3 linked regions of the Struthio camelus genome follow. Each later gene encodes a partner of the first gene's protein in a complex. Links are inferred from orthologs where the notes say so. Each region holds a gene or a part of one and is shown in the gene's direction. Other genes may lie near its edges. The genes, in order: HERPUD1, FAM8A1 and UBE2J1.

Evidence for each region.
Region 2: HERPUD1 (region 1) and FAM8A1 share a complex: the UniProt entries of both Homo sapiens proteins name them as parts of the HRD1 complex. The link is inferred for Struthio camelus from reciprocal best matches to the Homo sapiens genes HERPUD1 and FAM8A1.
Region 3: HERPUD1 (region 1) and UBE2J1 share a complex: the UniProt entries of both Homo sapiens proteins name them as parts of the HRD1 complex. The link is inferred for Struthio camelus from reciprocal best matches to the Homo sapiens genes HERPUD1 and UBE2J1.

What each region holds. Positions count from the first base shown.
Region 1 is NC_090951.1:29,902,377-29,910,234, reverse strand, and holds the start of HERPUD1 (homocysteine-responsive endoplasmic reticulum-resident ubiquitin-like domain member 1 protein), read left to right. Parts: upstream 1-4,770; 5' UTR 4,771-4,893; coding exon 4,894-5,025; intron 5,026-6,555; coding exon 6,556-6,633; intron 6,634-6,729; coding exon 6,730-6,804; intron 6,805-7,858. UniProt on the Homo sapiens protein: Component of the endoplasmic reticulum quality control (ERQC) system also called ER-associated degradation (ERAD) involved in ubiquitin-dependent degradation of misfolded endoplasmic reticulum proteins.
Region 2 is NC_090943.1:99,895,206-99,902,200, forward strand, and holds the start of FAM8A1 (protein FAM8A1), read left to right. Parts: upstream 1-3,953; 5' UTR 3,954-4,067; coding exon 4,068-4,707; intron 4,708-6,931; exon of another isoform or gene 6,932-6,995. UniProt on the Homo sapiens protein: Plays a role in the assembly of the HRD1 complex, a complex involved in the ubiquitin-proteasome-dependent process of ER-associated degradation (ERAD).
Region 3 is NC_090944.1:50,094,746-50,102,514, reverse strand, and holds the start of UBE2J1 (ubiquitin-conjugating enzyme E2 J1), read left to right. Parts: upstream 1-4,692; 5' UTR 4,693-4,719; coding exon 4,720-4,822; intron 4,823-5,492; coding exon 5,493-5,566; intron 5,567-7,312; coding exon 7,313-7,444; intron 7,445-7,769. UniProt on the Homo sapiens protein: Catalyzes the covalent attachment of ubiquitin to other proteins. Functions in the selective degradation of misfolded membrane proteins from the endoplasmic reticulum (ERAD) and is essential for cells to recover from ER stress.

The sequences.
Region 1 (7,858 bases):
GCGAGTCACCCGCACCCCCGGGGCTTGGCCGAGAGGCACGCAGCGGCGCTGCTGAGAGCGTTTCTCCCTTCTCGGCATTGGGTTACGCCAGGGACGTTTTCATACGCCTCAACCCTGTACTTGTTGAGGGGCCATGCTCTACTCCTGCCTCTCCTACCGATCTGCAGGGTGAGAAAGGGAGGGCCCTGAGAGTGCCTGCACCCTCCTTGTGTCGGGGCAGCTGGTGCCAGGTTCCCTCTCCATGAACCCAAACTCCACGATTACGCAGGTTTGGTAGTCGTTCCCTATTTGTGCTAGGGTGCCTTTTGGGGAGGAGGGCTATGCAATTGCACAAAGCTAAGCAAAACTGAGACTAAAGCAATTTAAGTAATAATATAACTAAACAAGCTCCAAAGCATGCGATAGACACAGAACCTGACCACCGGGGGCTGTTACAGCTAGGACGAGCTAGACAACAGGCATCTGATCCGAGAGCAAGCTGCAGGCACAGCAAAAGTTTCTTGAATGATTTTTGCAGATAAACCTAAAATCAAGCTAAAGTAAGTTCAAGACTGGCCAAGGCCTGACACGTCCTGAGGCCTGGTATGATTGTTCAGCATTGCTCTGCCTCTCCCACCGTCTGACTGCCAGGCTGCGTTGTTCATGCTGGAGCAGATTTCCTCGGGTGCTGCCAGTTACTTCGGTGGGTGATGCACTCAGGATACGTCTCGCGTAGAAGTCACTCTGTTTATGCCCAGAAATTCTCAAAGAGATATGCAGGTGACCCTTTCTCTCCAAATCCCATCCGCAGCCCAGGTGTGATGCCAGTCAGGATGCACAGCATGCTGCGAGCTCCCTGCCTGCTCGCAGCACGCCCTCTCCAGAGACAAAAACCCCAGCATAAAGTCTTCCCAAGACTAAAATCTTGTTCATGGGCTCGAAGAAAAACTGTACACAGCCACACCAATCGAAGGGACTATTACAACAGTATTATGAAACATTTTATTAAGCGAGATGGCTGACAAACACAGTGCTTCTTCCTGAATAAATACATTGAACTAAATCCTGAGAACCAGCCAGATGTGTTTGAATCGTGCGGTTTGAATCTCCTGATCTTCGACCTATCCAGGCTGCAGAGCAACCTTTGGACAGCTCCAAAACGCATCAGATTCCAGGATCACCAAACCAGGGGGCCCACATAAGCCAGATTGTATCTTTTGGCACGCTCTCTTGCACTGCGTCACTGCACCTGGGCAGAGAGGTGTTGCAGAGATCGCCTGCCAGGCAGAGAGGTGTTGCAGAGATCATATGCCAGTCTCTGAGGCTACAGGACATTTCTTTGCGTATAGTAAAATCCTCCACCGGCTGCTCCTGTTGTTCCAGGTCACTGGAGTGAGATTGTTATGTAGTGAAAATTAGCCTAACTCCAAAGGCTGCTATAAACTAATCGGTGATTCCCCCCCACCCAGGATCAACCCTGAGCTTTTTTTCATGCAGTAATTGTGTTGAGGTCAGTGAGATAATCCTGATTTACACGGGGGGTTAATGCTTACACAGGTACTGGTGGCAAAACAAGCTTGGAGCCCTTCATCTACGATTTTGGCAAATCAGAGTTAATTGTTCAATAGGGCAGTGCTGATCACATGCTAGTCACACCTTGTATTTGGAGCAGTGTCCGTGAATCTGTTGCTATGGAACAAAACCTAAGTTAAGCAGATAGTATCAGGGCAGATATTTGTTTTGCCTCTGTTTCAAGAGCTCTGAATCAGCCTCTGGGACTGGAGCACATGTTACCAAAGGTCCAGGTGTGTCCCCTAATTTTAGATCTGTCAGTTCACAGATGCTTCAGGTGAAGACAGTGAGGGCCTGAAGGCAGCGAGGGTCTGGCTTTCCAAGGGGCTCAAGCACTCCTTGCTAACTCGGAGGAGAGCTGTTGAGGTTTAGCAATTGGAACCACAGAAACATTCAGGTTGGAAGGCACTTTGGGAGGTCACTAGTCCACCTCCCTGCTCAAAGCAGAGTCATGAGGTTGCCTGGGGTTTGTCCATTGAGTCTCAAAAACTCGTAAGGGTGGTGATTCCACCTCTCCGGGCCCCTCTTCCAACTGGCCTTGTATGCTTTCAGTGAGGCCCCAAATAATTGCTGTTTCTCCTGGGGAACTGACAGTGTGGAAAGGATGGATGCCGTGCAGCTCACTCTGATGCTTGGGAGTGCAGTGAGTTTTGGAAAGACCGAGGATGAGCTGCCTCTGGCTCCCTGAGCATTGAGCAGGCTCCAGCTGCTTGTTGATGTGCTGCTCCGCTTCCTGTGTCGCAGCATCTCTGTCTTGTTTCTGTCCCCGGCATCTCTGCTGTGCCTGGGGTTTGGAGGCAGAGCGGACTTGCAGGTCAGTTGGGATTCAGCCACGCAGAGCTTGTTCGAGGAGCAGGGGGAGGCAAGAGACGGCATTTGGGGCCAACTGAAAAGGAATTGCCACAGAAAGAATGGCTTCCCGACACCACAAACAGATTAGATGGTATGTGCAGACCACACACGAGAGCACTTTGGAATAAGAAACATACACCTTGCCTGGTCCTCTGTATGAAACCCAACACTTCTGACCACAGCGCATGGCCCCTGTAGCCAGCCTCTGCTAGCCATTAGAGGCCAGACTTTTATCCCATAAATCTTTTATTGTGCCATGTGTGCTGATATGCAGCAATAAGGAGCAGCCACATTCAAACAGGCAGGGCTGGCATGCAGAGGGCGTATCTGAGGGGACCCCCTGCCCCCAGAGCTAGGGTCCCAGGAGGTCTATCCTCCCGCCCAGCTTGCCCAGCAGGTGCTCGCTAGTCCGTGGTTTCCAGCAACAGCTAGGGCAGGAGAAGGAGCTCTGCCCCTCTTGTTCATTAACGGGGACATGTGGGAGCTGAACCCTGAGGCAGGAACGGCACTGTGACTACAGCTGCTCACGCGATCCCTGGGCTAGCGGCCGGCTGAAAGCCAGGCATAGGGAGTCCCAGCAGAACGCGCAAGCAAAACCCGAGATCCTAATGGGATACTAATCTCTCCACAGCCTTGTCTCTGCCACCCACGGGAGCCCTCTGGGCACTCTGAACAAAGGCTGCAACCAAGCAAGCAGCAAACAAAGGCACCCTGTCCTTAAAGGGGGACATTTGCAAGGGTGCCCTCTGACATTTCCTTTGGCTTTCCCTCTTCCACTGCCAACAGGAGCTGGGGGACGCAGATCATGGTCCCTGCTAGCACAGCAAGAGCGGCAGATAGCTCTGACAGTCTCAGGCATCTTTCCTTGTCTTTGGGATTACAGAAGTGACTTACTGGTTAGGACTGGGGAATGAAACCCCTCCTCTTTAGTGCTGAGTCCACTCATGGATAAGTGAGGAAGGAGCACAGCTCTTCTGCAGCTCTTAAGCTACTTCTGTTCCTGAAGTACTCTTTGTGGGGAGGGATGCAGTGCGGGAAAGCGCCTGCCTGCTTTCTTCACCCTTGCAAAGTGTGCTGTTGTACTCTGGCAGGTGAGAACAGTTCATCAGACCAGACATAAGCTCAGTTCATTTCATTTTGATTTTACTTGCTGCTTCCCAAGGCAGTAACGCCCTGTGGGCACAGATCTTTCTCAGGAAGCTGAGAAATGATGCACCCCAGGGGCTGAGTGTCTTTTCTGGTTGCAAAATCAGCTATTGGCTGCAAAATCATCTATCCGTGCCTTTGGGCAACAGGTATGGCTGCCAAAGAGTACTAAGCAGCTAATGAAACGAGCAGAGTAAATACGTGGTGCAGACAGATACAACTGACTTCCCACATTCTTACTTGATTTTTTAAAAGTACGCTAAAACCCTCTCCTGGTGCATTAGTGTCATTACCACTGGTTTTCCTGTTGCTGGATCACGTCTCAAAGGAAGACGAGTATCTGAAAGAGAATTCTGAAGCTGCAGTTCTACAAGATGAGACTATTTTTTTGTCAGTGATAGCTTAATGAATTATCACGCTTCACCAACAGCCTGCACACCCCTGCATGCTTACTGGGGACCCAGGGACCCATGCAGAAGCTGTTGTGTCCTGCTTCCACACCCCCCCCCCCATTTCAGGAACAAAATTATTTAGGTAATAGTGTAGATCTGGTAAAATTATCATATCAAAAAAGGTGACGCTTCACCCGGATCGGCCTGTAGATCTGGCACACGGCAGGCCTCCCAGAGAGCTGCGTTGCTGTTGTACAGGAGGGGGAAAGAGAAGACTGAAGTCAGGGATCCGTCAGATTGGCCTCGCAGCCCAAGCCAACGTATTACGGAGCTGCGGTCTGGGCAGGTGACAAAGGACAGGGCAGAGGCAGCTCACGAGGGCTGCCCTCTCCTCTCTCGGCAGGTCGCCGGCCCGCGGCCTCCTCCCCCGGCCCCCGGCGAGGGGCAGAGGCGCGGGAGGCGCTCGGCAGCTGCCCAGGCGCGGCCCGACGGGGTCCCGCAGCGGCCGGTTAAACGCGCCAGGCCGACGCGGGGCAAGAGAGGGGGCGAGGGGACTCGCGTCCCCCTCAGGCCCGGCCCGGCCCGGCCCGGGGCGCCGCAGGGCTCCGCTGGCACCGCGCAACGGCCGCCAGGCCCCTCGGTGACCCGGCCCGGGCCGAGGCCCCGTCCCCATGGTAACCCCCGGCGACCCCCGCGCCCCGGCAGCGCCCCGGAGGCCCCCCGGGCGCCGCCCAATCACGCGCCCCGCCCGCTGCCCCCTGCCGCCGCCCGCCTGCCGCGCTCCGCCCGGCTCTCCTTCCCATTGGCCCACGTGGCAGCCTCGTCTCCCGCCGCAGCCAATCAACTCCAGCCAGCGCGGCCGGGCGGCGGAGCGGGCCGGGGCGTGACCGAGGCGCTATAAAGGCCCGGCGCCTCGGTGACGGGAGGCCGCTCGCCCGCCCGCCCGCCTGCCATGGAGGAGACCCTGGCGCTGCTGGTCAAGAGCCCCACGCAGCGACACCCCGACCTGCGGCTCCGCGCCGAGCCCGCCTGGACCGTGCGGCGCCTCAAGGCTGAGCTGCGCCGCCTCATACCCGATGCGCCGGTGAGCCGCCGCCGCCCCCCCCCCCCCCCCGCCCCGGTTTAACGGCCTCGGCGCCGTGCGCGAGCCGCTTCCCGCCGCCGCGGTGGGGCGGCTGCGAGCCCCGGCCCCCGGCGGCCGGAGCGGCCCGGCGAGCCTTCCGGGGCCGCCGCCGTTCGGCCGAGTGACGCACGCTCTTAGCGAGACTCTAAAACAGAAAATCAGAGGGGCGGGGAGCGCTTCCAGCGCCCGCTTCTGCAGGCGGTCCGGGGGAGGGGGTCCTGCACCGCCTCGCATCCGTTGCCTCTGGTTTGCTGATAAATATAGATGTGAAACTTGTTCGGGCTCTGCTGGGAGTTATTTTGGGAGTTGATTCGGTTTCTTGTTTAACCGCTGTTAAATATTAACTTTGCCTGAGAGGGTACTGAGTGTGCTTTAGAAGTGTTCACAGCGTATGGTTGGAAACTTTTCTGCTTTTGTTGGGAGAACTTGGTCTGAATGATGGGCGGGGTCAATAAATCTTACTGTTTAGGTGAAAACTGTGCATCTGCAAGGTTTCCTGTCAAACAGCATCTATGAAATTGCATGAAATATCTTGGGTGTAGCCAGTGGACTGAGACACCTTTTTGGTTTAATAGGCACAGCATTTAAAAGCTCTTACACTGTAAAGCAGAAGACCTTGAAGACAGCAGCTGAATATTTATAGCTCAGTAGCAGACTTTGCAGAGTTGTTTGAAACTTTAAATGCAGCAGTTGGAATTGCTTTAAGTCGCAAGATCTTGTGGATTGACCTCAGGAAAGTTCAGTAAGCATGTAGTGCTGTTCTTTGTTTCACCTGATGGGCAGTTGGCATAAGTTTCATGTACAAAATGTTCTCACTGGAGGATATGTGCTTTTGCCTCTCGATGACTAAGTTTAGTGGAAGCAAGCCACCTCACTCAGCTTCTGGATGCTGACACAGGTTCTAACTGTATTGCATCACTTGTGTGAACTTTTTTAGCAGCTGCTTGAGACATGACTTACTAGCATCTATGAAAGCTCTAATAAGCTGTGTGTGGACTTATGTGATTGCCCAGAAACAAGATTAGTGTGTTCTCACTAACTGTTATGCAGCAGTAGGAGGATTTTAGGTGAACAGCTGCTCAGATTCATCTCAGGGGGTATAACAGATTTATTTGGTAACACCTTCAGTGCTGCTCAGATTAGACAGTGCTGCAAACCTCTGCTTCTAGGAAGCTACATGTCAACTCTTTTACAGTCCTGACAAAAGACTGCAAGTCCTTTGCCAACAGAATGTTTTTTTATCCTCCTGCTGGTTTAGATCTCAGTGCTAGGCATTTTGCACTTCAGTAATCAACTGCTCTAATCGTATTAGCCAAATTCTTGGATGTGCACAATTCCTTCTGCAACTTAATGTGCAAGGTACTTACAATTGTATGATTCATGGTCAAATGGACAGATGCATATTAATCAGTTTTATGCGTAATGCAAATGTCTAATGTTTGCGTGCACTTGCCAGAATAGGTAACCACCATATTCTGTCTTCCCTCAAAGCCTGAAGAGGACCAAAGATTGATTTACTCTGGGAAGCTGCTGCTTGACCATCATTATCTGAGAGAGTTGCTGCTGAAGGTAAAAACAAACAAACAAAAAAAAAGGTTATGTAGTGCTTATATGTCAAGCAAGGTGCAACAATTACTTTTTAACGTGCCCTCGCTTATGTTTTAGCAGGAGGAATTGCATGCTCTTCATTTGGTATACAACCTCAAGACTCCTGTGATCGCACAAGAAACTGATGCAAAGGTAGTCATACTGACTTAACGTGCTACTCTGAATCTTGAGCTTCTGACTATCTGAAGAATGGAAAGTATGTAATGACTGTTTTAAAGCTCACTGATGCTGTAGACTTTTCTTGCAGTAGTACAGTAATAACAGTATTCCTTCTGGTGATAGTTCTACTAGTTAGGGGTGTGAAAATGTTTTTGAATAAGTTCTATACAAATTCATTTATGGCTCATAAGTAAAGATTCTAATGGAATCTGTTGAGAAACATCAAAACTTTCAACCTAGCTGTATTTTACAGCTAGGCAAAGTCTATATCTGGTAAATTCAGTTTTGTTAAATAGCATATGACCTGTCATATGCCCAGCTCTTTTGGATGGAAAAGCTGTGCTTGTGTGCAGAAGACATAGCTGTTTAGGACAGAAAAGGACTTCTGACCCCACATCAGTTTGAGGTAGAAAGACAACTATTAGTTGAAGGCATTTTAACTGCTCTCATTAATGACTTGGAAAGTCAGTAGAGAGGAAGCTAAAGATAAGCGTTAGTACTTGAACTGAGTACTTACTGGTGTAAAGTGCAATAGATACTAAATGGCCAAAGATGTATTTTACTTCCAAGAGTGGGTTAGCATATTTAAAGGTACACTTTGATTGTCCATTACAGGTGATTTGAATTTAGTCTATTTATGTTTGGAGTTTGCCAGATGTGAAACAGCTCTGGTCTGAATATAGTACAGGTACATTAGCACAGCAGCTCTTGACTTAGTGCCTCTATACAGCAGTGTATATATGCAAGTATAAACACTTCAGGGCTAACAAGCCAAACTGTTTTGAGTGCAGTTCCCTGTATTTTTTTCCAATTGCATTCTTATAACCAGACAGGACCTGATTATATATGTGACAGAATTATGAAATACATACCTAGAAATCCTGAAAATGAAAAGAGTAAAATCAAGTCATTTTTATATGCAAGTAGCTTTTAAGGAGCTTTAAAATGTTGATGGAGTTGCTGGTGGGATGGTGATTTAGAGCAGTGTTAGAACTGTGACAGCACCTAGAGGAGAGGTGCTGCAGGA
Region 2 (6,995 bases), on another chromosome or scaffold:
TGCCCTAACAAGGGGTAAAGTTCTTGTTCTTTGGTGACTTAGTGTGTACATTCCAGTAATGAAGAGTCACTTTAACCAAGGTCTGCGTTTAAACTTAATTCTGTACATGAACACACATACTTGCTACGAACGCCTAAATGGGATGAATGTATGTAGGCCACTAGTGGCTTTTGATTATGACTGGATGCAACAGCAATTGACCACTGTGGAATGACAACAAGTAGCCGATGATTAATGTCCAACAACTCTTATCCAAGGATTCTTTAAGAGGGGCCCCTATTTTTAGGGCACTTTAGTGTGAGGCAGGAGACGTGGTTTGAATGCCCCAAGCAAAGGAAGGCATTAAACTGGGATCTCATACATCCAGATGAATGTTTCAGCAGTTCCTTTAAAAACTGGTTAAGAACTTGCCTTGAAAACAAGATGCTGGGATGTGGATCAAAAATGAACCTCTGTAGCTCTGAACAGCAGCCAGAGTTAAGGCAGAACAGTGCTTTATTATTTTCTACTGACTGTGAAAGGCTCCCTGCTTAATAGTGATAATTATGTTTTTCAGCACTTACCTATATATAAAGAGCTTAAGATGGGATTTTAAGTTCCCTCTAAACCTTAACTATTGCAATATCAGCTTTTAGGTGCTTAACTCCCTTTCCTGGATCTAGTTCAGAAGGTTTCTCCTCGCCCAAATCTCACTTTTGGAAGAAGAGACTAATTAGCTGTCAAAGGCATTCAACTACTTATTTTCGTCAACCGACAGAATGAACTACTTCAGACTATCTCCCTTTCTGACTGCTCACAAGAGAAAACAAGCTCAAGCAGGGAGAAATCAGTGATGCAGAAGATTATTATAACTACTCCCATAATGTGTGGTAACCTAGAACAGCAATGAAACAAGTCCCTTTGCTATCAAAAAGGCTAATAAAGTGTGAGTTCCAACACCACTGGCAAGCCCTGTTGTTATAGTATGTATCTCTTTATCACATACACCATAGAATAATCTGAATGTTTGCGTTATACCGAATTTGCATTGTTTTTTGTAACAGTATTGTATTCAAGGCAGAAGAATGAAAAACTAATGACTGAAAAACTTGTCTGAAGAAAGACAATGTTACATTGTCTGCCTCCTCTACCATTACTCCCCTTCTCCCTGCTGTCAGTGATGCAATTTCACCTTGAGTACCCAGCATAACTACGCAGTGAGCTCCAATTGGTTATGCCTCTGTAATGCTGCTGACAATCCTAAAAGTTACAGGTGACTGGCAGCATTTTATGAAGCCTGTGAGATTTTGTAATTGCACCTAAATATCTGATCTGGCTTGCAGAAACTCTGATTATGCCAACACAAAAAAGGTCTGACTGACAGTGGCTGGTTCTGAAGGGTTTGCAGTGAACAACCACTTAAAAAAAAAAAAGTGAAATAGACTGTAGCTGATAAAGAAATCAGTGAAATATTATGAAGGAGGACCTCTGCTAAGCTTCTTTTACTGTAATTCTCCAAACTAGCTTTCCTAATACAAGTTAATAGCTATTCAAAGATTATCTATTTCAGGCTATCTTAAACATAATCTTGGGACTGTGGGAGGGTTTTTTTTTATATCTTCATAAATTCAGACTCCTCCTTGCCTTTGTTTTTTTCTCAAAGGGTCACCTCTAAGGTACCACATTAAATGATTTTCTTCTGTAGACTTGCATATCTTCCTTCCCTCTTTTCCTGCCTTTCTTTCATTCTTCAATGTCCTTCCTAATCATGCCGAAACTTGTCATGTTTCCCAAATCAATTATCCATATTGATTTTAACCAAGTGTATGTTACAAAACAGATGACAGTATAATTAGAACCATGACTGCCAGCACATAACCGCATTTCTTTTAATTAAGGTGATATGGGTTATTAGCTAAGCACAATTTCAGTTCACTTCAGCTTGTCTATACTAGGGACTCGCAACACAGAAATTACTTCTATTTTTAAATAAATTAGGATTATATGGGAGAAAAGTTTATTTGTTTTTGCCTAACAGAGAGAGAGAAACACTTATTTTCATTTTTGTTTCCAGTTCTGCTATTTGCTGTGTTAAAAATGGGAAACATTCCCTGTTTAACAGTATTTATTACTAGTTCATCCAGCATGGTGCTATGTTAACATTTATGTTATGCAGAAGTTCAGGTCTGGTTGTGATGCTTACTAGCATACAGGAACCTTAAATATTAGAAACTATTTTGGAGAATTGTGTTTAAACTTCCTGTAGGGCTCCTAGTTCTTCAGTATTTTTGGAATGGGAAGGAGATGAATGAAATACGGGAAGAGATGAGAAAAGGGAGATGGAAAAGAAACCAGCATTTAGACAACACATCAAATAAACCGTAGAAATACAGAAGAGAAATAGCAAAGTTTAAGTTAACACCTTTTCTTCCTTTTATTTCTCCAAAAAAATTCAACACACTTCCTATTAGCAAAGGTAACTGCAAGGCTACTTTATTTTAGGGAAAGAGAAAGTGTTTTTAGATTTGCTAGAGGTCAGAAACAACAGCTGTAATCACAGGTGGCTATGACAAGATCAAAAGAGAGAACAAATTTGTCCGGCTGCACCTGCTTGGAAGCAAGGCAATGCCTTATTCCTTACTTGGGTCTATGACTTCATCTACCACAGTCTATTAAAATTAATATATCTGTTATCTGGGGCAAAATCAGAAGTCAACTGAAGGGAGACAGAGGGAATCTGAATTATGGCAGTTTACATGCTGGCCCTTCACCCTGTCTTGCCAAGCAAAGCTAATCCCTGTCCTGACTTCAGAGGGGAAGGCCGTGGAAACGAAGCCGCACACAGAAGATCCTGACTCCCTTCTCACACTCCAGCACAAGGCACTAGTGCAAGTAACCTCACTGCCCGCAGACAGCTTTCAGATTTCAGCCTGTGAAACGGGGACTTCCCGCCTGACCAGACCTGAACGGCTCAGCCTTGGACGGCGGAGGGGGCCGACGGGCTGGCGGCGCCCTCAGCGGGGGCGCGGGCCGAGCTCCCTGCTGCGCCGGCGAGCGCGGCTCCCCGCGCTGCCCCCGGGCGGCGCGACAAGCCGCTGCGGCCGCCTAAGGCGTTGGGGGGGGGGGGGGAAAGAGGGGGAGGAGGCCTCGGTATTTATATTGAGGAAGAATTAAACGTCTCCTATACGTGTGTTTTTGCTGGGAGACCTTTCGAAAGCGCAGGTTCTACTACGCTTGGGACTGGAGTAGCATGGCATTACTTCTCCTCCGCGCTTTGGGTCTTGTTTTTAGGTTTGCAACCCCGGCAGCCGCTTCCGTCGTCCCGTCCGCGGCGAGGGGGAAGCGACCCCTCGCACAGGGCAACTCACGACTCTTGCTAGCACGGGACGAGCGAGCAACGGGAAAGGCGCTTCCAGGGTACACGCTCAAACTGCCGTCAGCAGCAGCCAAGAAACCCGAGGCAGCGCCGCAGGGCAAGGAGAGCTCAGGGCAGGGAAGGTCTCCCTCCTCTCCTCCCCGCCCCGCGCAGGAAGGCGTGAGGGGAACATCTCCCTCAGCCCTCTCCTTAAGGCAAGGGCAAGGGGCGCGGCAGCGACCGCAGGGGGTGGCGCCTGCCCTGACGCAGCTGAACCTGTCTCGTAGGCAGGGCCAGCCCCCGCGGTGCGGCGCGGCTTGGGGAAAAAAGAGGCTCTACGTGTGCGTGGTGCGCGGCGCGGCCGTTAAGCCGCCGGGTCTCGCGTAAGGCAGCCCCGGCCCGAAGGGCTCGGCGACGCCAACCGCTGTAAAGGCCCTGGGCCCAGCGCGAGACCCCGCCCCCTTCCCTTCCTTTGCTCCCCTCCCCCTCGCCCTCTGCCTCAGCACTAGGCGAGACCATCTCACGGCGGGGGGAGGGGGAGGAGAGAGAAGCCTTCCTGCCTCCTAGCGAAGCTTGTTCTTTCCTCGCACAGAAGCAGAAAGGGGACCACTGGAGGGTGGTACGCTCCTCGCCGCGGAGGGCCCCTGAGGGGCTCTTTCTAGGTTGTGCCCGCTTCTCCCCTCTCCCCCTCTCCGCCTCGGCGAATGGGAGAGGCGAGGCGTCGCCCTCGCGCATGCGCCGTGAGCGCAGACGCTCAGTGTCAGAGGGGATGGAGGAGATGGCGGAGCCCGGCGCGGAGCCCGGCGCGGGTCGGCCCGGAGCTGGGGCGGCGGCAGCAGCAGTAGCAGCGACGGCGGGGGGAAGCAGCGAGAGGAGCGACAGCGGCGCGAGAGGGGAGGCCGCGGCTGCGTCGTCACTCTCGTGCTCCTCCTCCGCAGCCGTTGGGGGCGACGGCGGGGAGGCGAAGGCACTGAGCGCGGCGGAGTACGCGCGGCGCGTGCACCAGTGGCTCTGGGACTCCTACTGCGGCTACCTCAGCTGGCAGAGCTGTCTCCCCGCCCTGCTGGCCGCCGCCGGCCCCTCGTACGCCGCGGGCCCCGGCCGCGCGTCCTCGCCGCCGCCGCCTCCTTCCTCCTCCTCCTTCTCTCCTCCTCCTCCTCCGCCGGGGGCAGCCGCCGCTTACTACAGCCCCTTCTACGTCTTCGCTCCGGCGCCAGCCCCCACAGCCACCGCCGGGCCGGGGCCCCGCGCCGCCGCGGCCCCCTCTTGGCAGGGAGCGGCGGGCAGGTTGGCCCCCCTGCCCAGGGCTGCCTCCAGCGGCGCCGTCGGCGCCGGCACCAGCGGCGCCCCCCGCGAGGCGGCGCGGCCGGCAGGTGAGAGGGGCCGCGGGGGTGGAGGGGGGGGGGATCGGGCCTCGCACCTCGCTCTCCGCGCCCTGGGGGGAGGCGGCCGCGTCCCTGCTCAGCCGCCTCCGGTCGCGCACCGGGGTCGGCGACGCCATCCCCGGCGGTAGTGCTGGCTCACGGCTCGCAGCACCTTCTCCCTTCTTCGCTGTTTTGGGCTCCTCCGGCGCAACTCTTGGAGGCGGCATGTCGAGGAGGAAGCGAGGGGTTTTGCAAGGTTGGGGTGCGCTTCTGTGGGCGGCGGACCTGTCATGCGAAAGGTGACAGCTGAAATACTGAGTTTGTAAATCCACAGTTTATTCAGTGAGTAGATTTGAGAGGGTTGACTTGCATTTGCCGCTTATTACTTTGATATTTGTGAAGTGTTTTAATGGATAGGAAGGAATTTTTTTTTTTTTTTTGCAGTAAAACTCATTCTGGTATTGACAGGACCATAGCTGTTCATGAAGTGTCTAGCTTTTTAAATAGTCTGTTTGGATGAAGAAAGCTAAACTAATTTTCTCTGTTTGTTTTAGTGGACTCTTGGTGCTCAAAATCATTTAAATGAAACTGAAGTAGAGAGATTAAAATATGCTTACATGCTAGTGACAGGACCTGAAATAAACAAAAATCTGTTATGACTTAGACAGCTTTAGCAGTGGAATAACCTTGCTTCTGTTTACATTTGTTCGAAAGTAAAACAAACTTTTACTGTGATCTCATCAGAAGGAAAAACTGGAACACAAACATTTCTTGACAAACTCTAAGAGTGCCTAGATGACATTCCGTGAATGTTTGGTAATACCTTGAGTAATGGCAGAACACTGCTAAAGGACTTTGGAAAAAAGCCAGATCTCCTTTCTTTCTCTAGGGCAAACTACAGCATTACTGATCTGTAACATTATTTCTAAGCTCAGTGACTGAATGTGAGGGGAGAAATTTTCTGTTTCTCCTTCATTTTAAAAGGAAGGGAATCTAGCTCCCAAACTTGCTGCTTTGTTGTGGGTTTAGGCAGATGTTGTTTCAGCATGGTTGTAACACAAAGTAGTATTTTTTTTAAATTATGCCCTGATTTATATATTGCTTATGAACAGCTATTACTAGTCACTGGAAAAGATGATGTGGACAAAATCTAGACTGAAATAACTCTTGGATTTTTACCTAATTCTTCAGGAACTAATATCACATGCTAAAGGTAACATAGGGTATGAATAACACTCCGTTCTGCTGAATGTGGCTATTCTCAGTGCTAAATATTGTTGCAACACCCAGACTTCCAAAGGGAATTCTTTGCATGATATAGTGATATGATAGAATTATAAACAAGCACTGTTGTGCCAGTGCTTTGGCTCCCAATTGCATATGGATTTATCTGGAGCAGCTAAAGCGATTACAGCTCCTTCCCTTCTGCTGCAGGTGATTGCTCACTCAGCAGAGTTGGTAGGACAGGACTTATATCCATCCCTAAGCCACTGTGGTTTACAGTCCAGTGTGTGCACGTAAACCGAACTAAGTGACGGTTTATGTTAATATTGCAGATCTTAACTAGGATGCCCAAAAGGGGAATTAAACTGTTTCTTCCTCTTCAATCTGCCTGTGTGTCAGTTCAGTATCAGTAGCACTCCGGGCAGTACCAGGCCTTTGGTGGATTTAGTCATCATTTTTCAAGATGTTTCCTCCCCTCATCCCTCTTGATTTATCCTCCTTGCCTTAGTGTAGGAGATTACTGCTCTTATTCTGGGAACAGCGGAACAAAAAGTGTGTTCAAGCCTCAGCTGCCTTATTTTACTGTCTGGCTGGCTAAGTGCAAACCCATCTTTGTTACTAGGTTAATGTCAGACTTTGAGCTGAGATGGATGCATGTTTCATTCAGCTGTCCCTCCAGTACAAATAGTAACTCCTGACAAAACAGTGGATTTCTGATGCTGGGAGTATATTAAATGGCTGCAATAGAAATCTGCTAGAGTTGAGGGGTTATCAGAGTTTCTTAATGTAATGGAGTTTAACATAATTCGGATGCTGATTTTCATGGTCCCAGACACTTCTTCCTTATCCAGTTATTGTTTCAGTCTAATAGTTTCCACTGAAACTCTTAGCACATTCACTGAAGTTAGTGGCACATTTTGAAGAATTCATTTGCTTTGTGTTCTCCAGTGCTATACGCTCGAGCCTGTAGCTTGTTGGGGAAATTGGCTGCGTTCCCTCCTGTCTCAGTTAAAGAATCTTTAATTAGAATTTTGTTGACAACTTGTTGACAAACAGAATTGAATCCACTTAAG
Region 3 (7,769 bases), on another chromosome or scaffold:
GCATTTTGTAAAAGGATTATAACTTGTATTTCATAGTACTTTTCTGCCTCAAATCCCTCTTTCTCTATTGTAGTTTAATTCACTAATGATCACGTGTCGTTCACGGGTTTTAAGCTGTCCAGGAAAACCACGTCTGTGATGGAGTAGGTGACACATAGTTAGACAGTGACGCTCTGCAGGTCACTGTGAACCTGTTAGTGTCTCTCTATGGTCAGTTTTAATAAATCATTTTCTACAGAGTACAGCACCTATGTATGATATTCTCCATATCAAAGAGTTGTAGGAAAAGTAATGCATAAATGTCCAGTCGGATAAGACTCTTTGCTCTAATTATTATTATTATTATTATTTTTTTGCTTGCTTCTTTGGCGACCTCATTGCTTAAAGTGATTTTTTTGATTTAAGATATCGAAGCTCATTGGGTGTTGTCATCTCAGGAGAAATCCCGTGTACTGTAAACAAAAATTTATTCCTGCCTCTTTCTTGGTGTGATTCAGTCCTTGTACAATTAAAAGATTGACTGACTTTACTGTTGGAGTTTTTTTTTTTTTTTCCTTCCCTGAAATGAATTTTACCTTGCCTATAATAGCCTGCATTTTCTTTTGAATGCAAATACAGAGTGTTTGAGTAAGTGAGTTCAAAGGTATGTGAGGTTGCTGTGGAAGTTGTTGCCGGTGATTCAGTAGGTGACACTGTTTACTTGGGGCTCTTAAGTCACTGGGTGATTACCCTGGCCAGGGGACAAGGCGCTGTTGGCTCAGCAGTCAGGTATTGATTTGGGGGAGGGAAAGGAGATCCGAATCTGTCACAGCTGATTTTGAAAGGACTTTCCCAAGATGTCACCCATGACATTGAGTATAGTCTAATTTAAGAGACCTGATTCTTATCTAAAATTTGTTGTGCAGTTTCAATGAAATCTGATGCTCTTTTTATTCTTCTAATTGTAGATAGTAGTATCATTGATAGGCAAGCACCCGTATTTTACTAATATGGTAAGTAGGCGAAGTAGTTAAAATTCTGTGGGATGAAAGGTGTCGTATAAATGCTACGTCAATCTAATTCAATTGGAAAACCTGGGCAGATTTGAAAAGTAAACTGCATCTCTAGCAATGCTGTCTTAGTCAACAGAGTCATGAGAAAAATAACTTTTTCTCTTTTTCTCTTAAGTAGATCTCTAAGTCTTGTTTGAAATGGAAACATTTTATTTATAAGTCAGGGAAAAAACGATGAGTATTTGCTGCAGCAGTAGAAGCTGTCAGATTGCTTTATTCCTTCTTTTCTAGATCAAATAAGTCAACTTGAAAGATTAAAAGATCTTTAGCTTTATACCAACTATTTTGGACTTCTTTATTTACTATTTTTTGTTAAGTTTTTTTTTTCCAAAGGGAAGAACTGAAATCTGATAGAATGAGACTGTTGCTCTCTATTGAGGAAGATACTGTCGCACAGAACCCTGATCACTTAAATATAAATTTATTTCTCTGATGGTCCTGTAATCACCTTTACACACACACAAGGACTTCTTTTTACATGCAGGGGTTGAGCCCTGCTGAACTGAGGCCTAACTATCCGTGTCCTTTAACTTCAGTTTGGCCAGAGTGCCTCCCCACTCAGCCTTACCTCTCCCCTCACCCACGTCTGTGCCTTTTGCTGAGTTCTTGTACCTGATTGCTGGTGTTTTTTGCAGATATTATAGCAGATCTTTAGGAAGCTTTAATGGTGTCTAGGTTTTTGCTTAAAAAAGGAAAACCACTTTGTTATACTACAGGAAATCCTGTTGCGCTGTTGTGTGTTACGTTTTCATTAACGTAACACAGTAACCCTGGTCGGCTCATCTGATTGCCATGTGTACAGCGTATAGATTTATAAAAATGAATTACAATCTCTCCTTGTTAACACTTTGGAGTACTGACAAAACAGACCTCTGCAAGGCTAAAAATAACTGTTTTAAGGCTATATTTTTATTTTCATGGTAACAGACTTTTAAAAGTATAATACTGTAGTAAGATGAACGCTCCTGATGTTCAAATCCTGCCATCCCTTTAAGCAGTAATATTTACATTTATAAAGATTGTGCGCTTCCCTTTTCTGTCTATAGAATGTTTGCCTTGGCTGTGGCGTGTAGGCTACGCTAAGTGGGCGCGATAGCAGAAATGCCTGAACACGACTTCAGGATGGGTCCAAGAGAAGGAGTTATATTGAATAGGAAATGCAGGATGGCTTAACCCGGGCATAATAGCAAGAAATTGGATTTAACCAGGAACCGTGGTGGTGGTGTTGGGAAAGAACATAAGTAACAAGCAAAAATTGTCTGCCTGGATACTTTTTTTGCAAAAACAAAGTAACTTAGCTTCAAATTTGAATTGTATTTTTTGTATTTCTTGTATTTTGACATCCACATTTTACTTTTCAGAAAAATCCTGTGAGTTCTGTGTAGAAGAACAGACAGTTTGTCAAGCAGAGCTGTTGATCCACAGAGCTTTTACTTTCCTTTGTTCCCCAGATCAGCTCAGAGCTCTTCCTCCTCCTTGTCCTCTCCTGCCAGAGAGTGAGATTCTTCTTTGCTCTGTAGAGTAATCTCAGAAAACTGGATTTCCTCAATATTTAATTCCAAGGAACATTATTTTAAATTGTTACAGCTTGTTTCTGTGAAACTACAGTTATTTTTCATGTTGATAGACATACCTTAGCAAAAAAAATCCTTGATTTATTTTGGCTTTAATACTCATCTTGGGCAATTCTAACATCTTGATTTGAAATTTCTTTTGGTTGAGTTAGTGATGCTTTTTGACTTCACTGACAGTTTGAAATTCTTTGTTTTGAGTAGGTACAAAATGTTCTAGTTTTTCAGACATTGCCAAACAACTTCAGATGACTCATGTGATTTTTAAGTAGGTTGAAGTACCACATTTTGCATCGAAACTCTCCTTTTAATGAAGCTGATAAGTGTCATGTGCTAGTGCAGCCAGACTTTGTAAATTATTTGTACTTCTTCCATTGCAGTTTCCACTAGCAAAAGGAGGGACTGTGTTTAGGAATACGGTGCTATATTTGAAGAAGCAGTTTAACACCTTTCTCACTTGCTTATGTTTTCTTATAAACTTTTATTGGACAAGACTATTCCTTGCAACTTGCTAGCTGGCATTTTTAAACAACATGCAAATACACATGCTTCTTTTTCTTAAGACATACTAGGCTTTTTAATATTGAAAACTTTGGACAGACAAATGATCTGTGTGGTATACAAGAGCTAAATTATGTATTTTGGTATATTTATTGCACGCTCTAAGAGCGGAATATTTCATGTTCTTCCAGCATATTTTATGCTGACTTCTTAGCATGAAATACCTGTAGTCTGGCTTCTTGACAGTAAGGTAGTGTTTTAAGAAAATATATACAGTATTGCTATCAATGTTAATTAAGTACAAAAGCATCTAAAACAGAATGCTTTACACTACTTAAGAGGAGCCCTCCTGCCTGAGCTCCTCGCCTGTCTGCTGTCTTGGTTCCCTCTTAGTGCAAATTCTTATTTTTTCTAATTCTGACTCTTGCTGCTGACTTTCAGCCCTGTATCTAAGTAGCCAAAAGGCTGTCCCTTTTGGAATAAGTCAGAAGGGCTGGGTGCAAGCCTTTCCCGGAGTGTCAGTAGTCTTCTGGAGAACAGTCTTGAAAACTATTTTTGCTGTAATAGTTAGCTTTTCGTCAGTTACCGAGGGTAACCGCATACAATGTTACTAAAGGAGAACTGTATTTGTTTTCTAGGTTGGTCCCTGGTCCAGGAAAGCTTAGTAACAGAGTTGTCTGCATTGTAATCCAGAACTGTTCTGTCTTGTCTTTGTTAGGTTTCTTTATATGTGTTTTCAGTCTTTTCATGGTTAGCCTTTTGTTCTTGATGGAGCGCCCAGGTCTGAGTTAGCTTGTGGTGTTTGTTTTTTTTTTCTCTTTTTTTCTTTTTTTTTGAAAGGATAGTATCCAGAGCTGTGAAGCAGCTCCAGGTCTGAAGCTGTTTCTGGTTCAGGCTGGTTTTCTTACTATTCCTTGCTAATGAACGGGTAAACCTTAATGCAGATGAGAGATGAAACATTTTTCAGTGGATCCTGGATGTTACTATCTGCTAGGTGATCTCATGTGTTCTACAGTGTATTTTATTGACACCTTGCTCTGGCAGTACAAGAATTAAGCAAATTTAGCTGAAAATTAAGCAGTAGCAAATTTGGGTGTAGTCTGCTTGCTTTTCAGTTTGTAAGAGGTGAAATTCTTGAACTTTTGCTGTTGGTTAGAGCTTTCAAGAACTGCAAAGGAAGAAGAAGCCAGGAGAACTTCTCACAGTAGATAGAAATTTAAATTATTCTGATGGAATTTAGAATAGCCTCCCTCACAGCGTTTCGAAAGTGCGTAAGTGATGGTTGGATGGTGATGCCAGACTTTGTAAATCGAGGAATTATGTTTCACTTTCAGGATTACCATTAAGCTATTGTGAAAGGGAATTTGGATGGTGTTTCTCCTTCTTCACAGTTAGGCAATTATGTGAGTGGGACTTTCACAAGTATTTTATTTCACTTTTCCCAGCAAGCAGGCGAGAGTAAAGACTTTCTACCTAACTTCATTCTTGAGGTGGCATCCTTGGATTTCTTGTCTGTGATTCTTAGGTTTAATCCTCTTTTCAGTGTAGCTGACTTTTTATTAGGAGTTAGTGCACGATGTGCACGGAGCAAAGTGATGGGACAAGTGATGGAACAAAATTTCCTGAAGGGGAAGGAGAAAGGAGATGCAGAAAATACGGAGAATACTGCATGTTCTGAAATGGAAGACAACTGCAGAGGTAACTACAGCCCATCCTGAATTTTAAGGAGGATGAACACCTGTGTGTCCACATTCACTAGCTCGTTTGAAATGCAAAGGCCTAGGTAAATTCTTCTGACTGGGCATATGTGTTTTCAAATAGTCTAGTATAAAGCATACGGCATCTCCCTGCACTTCCCAATATACCAGTTTTTCTCAAGTCTTATTTTAACCCCTTTGGATAAGTAAGGGAGTAGTCATGTAACACTGCCATGAGGTGTCAGGGTAAAGCTTTTCAGCAGTTGTTCAGAGATACTCAGGATGATCAAATGTTAGGGTGGGTAGGTCTTGTACATCTTGTATTAAAACACTGAAACTCTGTTAATGACATTTATGGTTTTCCTCATATCATTGGTGCCATTAATAATCTAACATCATTTTAATCTCAGTGTTGAGGCATTCTTTTGAGAAAGTCTAACCATGGAACATATTTTCCATAACTTTGTGTTTGTATGGCTCATTTAAATCATTATTCGGCGTGAGTAATTTATCTTGTTTTGGATTATTAACTCATGTGAAGAAGGTGTGATGTGCTGAAAAAGATGAGTTAGCGGAAAGGAGCCCTTCAAGAAATGCTTGTTATTTTTTATGCAGTATGTATAAGTAATTTCTTTCTTTATTTTCCTGTCCCCATTTTTCTGTTTTTCCAGCTGTCAAACGTTTAATGAAAGAAGCTGCAGAATTGAAGGATCCTACAGATCATTACCATGCACAACCTTTGGAGGTTTGTTTCTCCGTATGTTTGCAGGAGCTTGTCATTAGCCTGTGTAATATATATACTCTAAGTTCTCTGTGTGCATATATATTAAAAACTTGTTTGTATTTTTAGATATTAATACACCTTCTTAAAATTAATTCCATTCTTTTGGCATTTTTTCCTAAGATGGAAATCAGTGGTAGAATTCCACATCTAATGGTATTATGGAACCAGGTTCTTAATGAGAGTACGTGATAGTAATGGTTTTACATTGCACCTGAGCAGTTGCATCACATGGGTGTAATGTGTTTATTCTCACCCTCCTGAGGCTCTGAGTCTACATAAATATATTATGTTTTAGTTTTGGGCGTGTAAAGCTCAACTTGATATCTGGTTCAGTTACTGAGTTGCTCAACAAAACACTTGAAACTAGATGAGCTACATGGACTTCCTATTTTGAGTGCAAAAAACTGCATGAAAGACCTTTAAATGAGTACAGGTCTGCCATGGATGCACTGACTTGTAAGAAAGAACACTTGGTTTCCGCCACAGATAGGTACTACTTTGAGGTCCTCTAAACAGTTAGTTAAGTTTCTGAGCTGAGAGAGCAGTGAAATTCTGGTGGCTAGAAGTCTAAAAGGAAACCTATTCTGATTCTGCTAGAATATTAAAAAGGTAATGTCTTGTGATGGTCAATTTTGGGATTTGATTTGACTGTTCGCAGAAATGCGTAGCACACAGCATACTTAGAGCACGGTGCATGTTTCTCGGTACTGTAAAATATACTTTATTATTGACCAGTTTTTGTCTGTATCTTGTTTTCTTCCCGCCCTCTTCTTCCTGAGGTGAAATGCAAGGTTTAATTCATACTGTCAGTCAATAGTAACTTGCATGAAGGTCTTTTTTCAGGGTAAAAACAGTGACTCACTGGGAAGAGAGCAGTGAGAGACAGATAAAAAGACAGGCTGGAAATATTGACGGTTCCCTCTGTCCTTGAAAAAATTTTTAACTAGATGGGCTGTCACAGCCCTGCGATGCTAACATTCAGCATGAGTCATGAGATCTCATTCACTGACAGCAGGCCTCATTGGACTCCTATGATAACAGTAGGAGGTTTTTTTTGTGAGTTGTGGGTGTCAGGAGGTCTGATATGGAAAGCCAAATGCAGAATCCTAAAGAAATAATACTTAAGGAGAAGTTAATTACGTGTCCAATGAAAATGTTCCAAATTTCAAATCATGCCTACTATGCAGTAAGGCAAGATAGCTTTTTCAGAATTCTTCATGGAGAAACAAAAGAGAATGGGAATTCTATAGGGCCAGAGTCAAAGCCCTGTGTTGTGTTGGGCATAGGAGGGGCTTTCAGAGGGGAGACTGTCTTTACATGTTCTCATTTTGGGTGGTTCTGTTCCCAATTCTGTAGAAATTCTTATTCACTGGGGCAAAGACCCAGCTTTCCCTTGTTTGATCCTGAGTTTTCCATCTTTCAGGTAATAAAACTTTTGTCATAATTGGTACAACTCCTGTGAAAAGCTTGCATGATAAACTTGAATTTTCCAACAAAGCCATTTTGTAAGAAAATTACCTGAAGTTACGATATTTCATCCTTTTAATCAGAACCTTAGTACAGTGTTGACTGTCCTGTTCTCCGTTTGATTTTTTTTTTTTTTTTTTTTCTATTTGGCGTTTCTTTAGGCTGTCCTTGTTCCAAGAAAGTGGTAATTAGGTGTCTGCTTCTTTGACGCACTCTTCTTTTTTCATGGGGGCATTTTAGGATAATCTTTTTGAATGGCACTTTACCGTTAGAGGCCCTCCAGATTCAGATTTCGATGGAGGAATTTATCACGGGCGAATAGTACTACCACCTGAATATCCCATGAAACCACCAAGCATTATTTTGCTGACGGTAAGCATATTTACCAGTTATTCTTTTTTGCATGAACAGTTTAACCTTAGATATCTGAGAGGGAGATTCCTGGCATATAAGATATCATTCTTTTTGTAATAAAGGTGGCATAGTACAGTTAATACTGCTAATTTAATGAGAAGTCTTCCAAGGTAACTTTGGTATTTTGTAGTTATATAAAGTTTTGCCCCTATAGATGGAAATTTTCCCCAGGAGTAAGCGCATTGCTAATGTGAATGCGATGGTCTAATGTTTTTCTTCCCTCCGTGGACCTCTTCAGTCTCTGTATTGGCACATGTAACAAGGCAGACCAGTGTTATGGGGG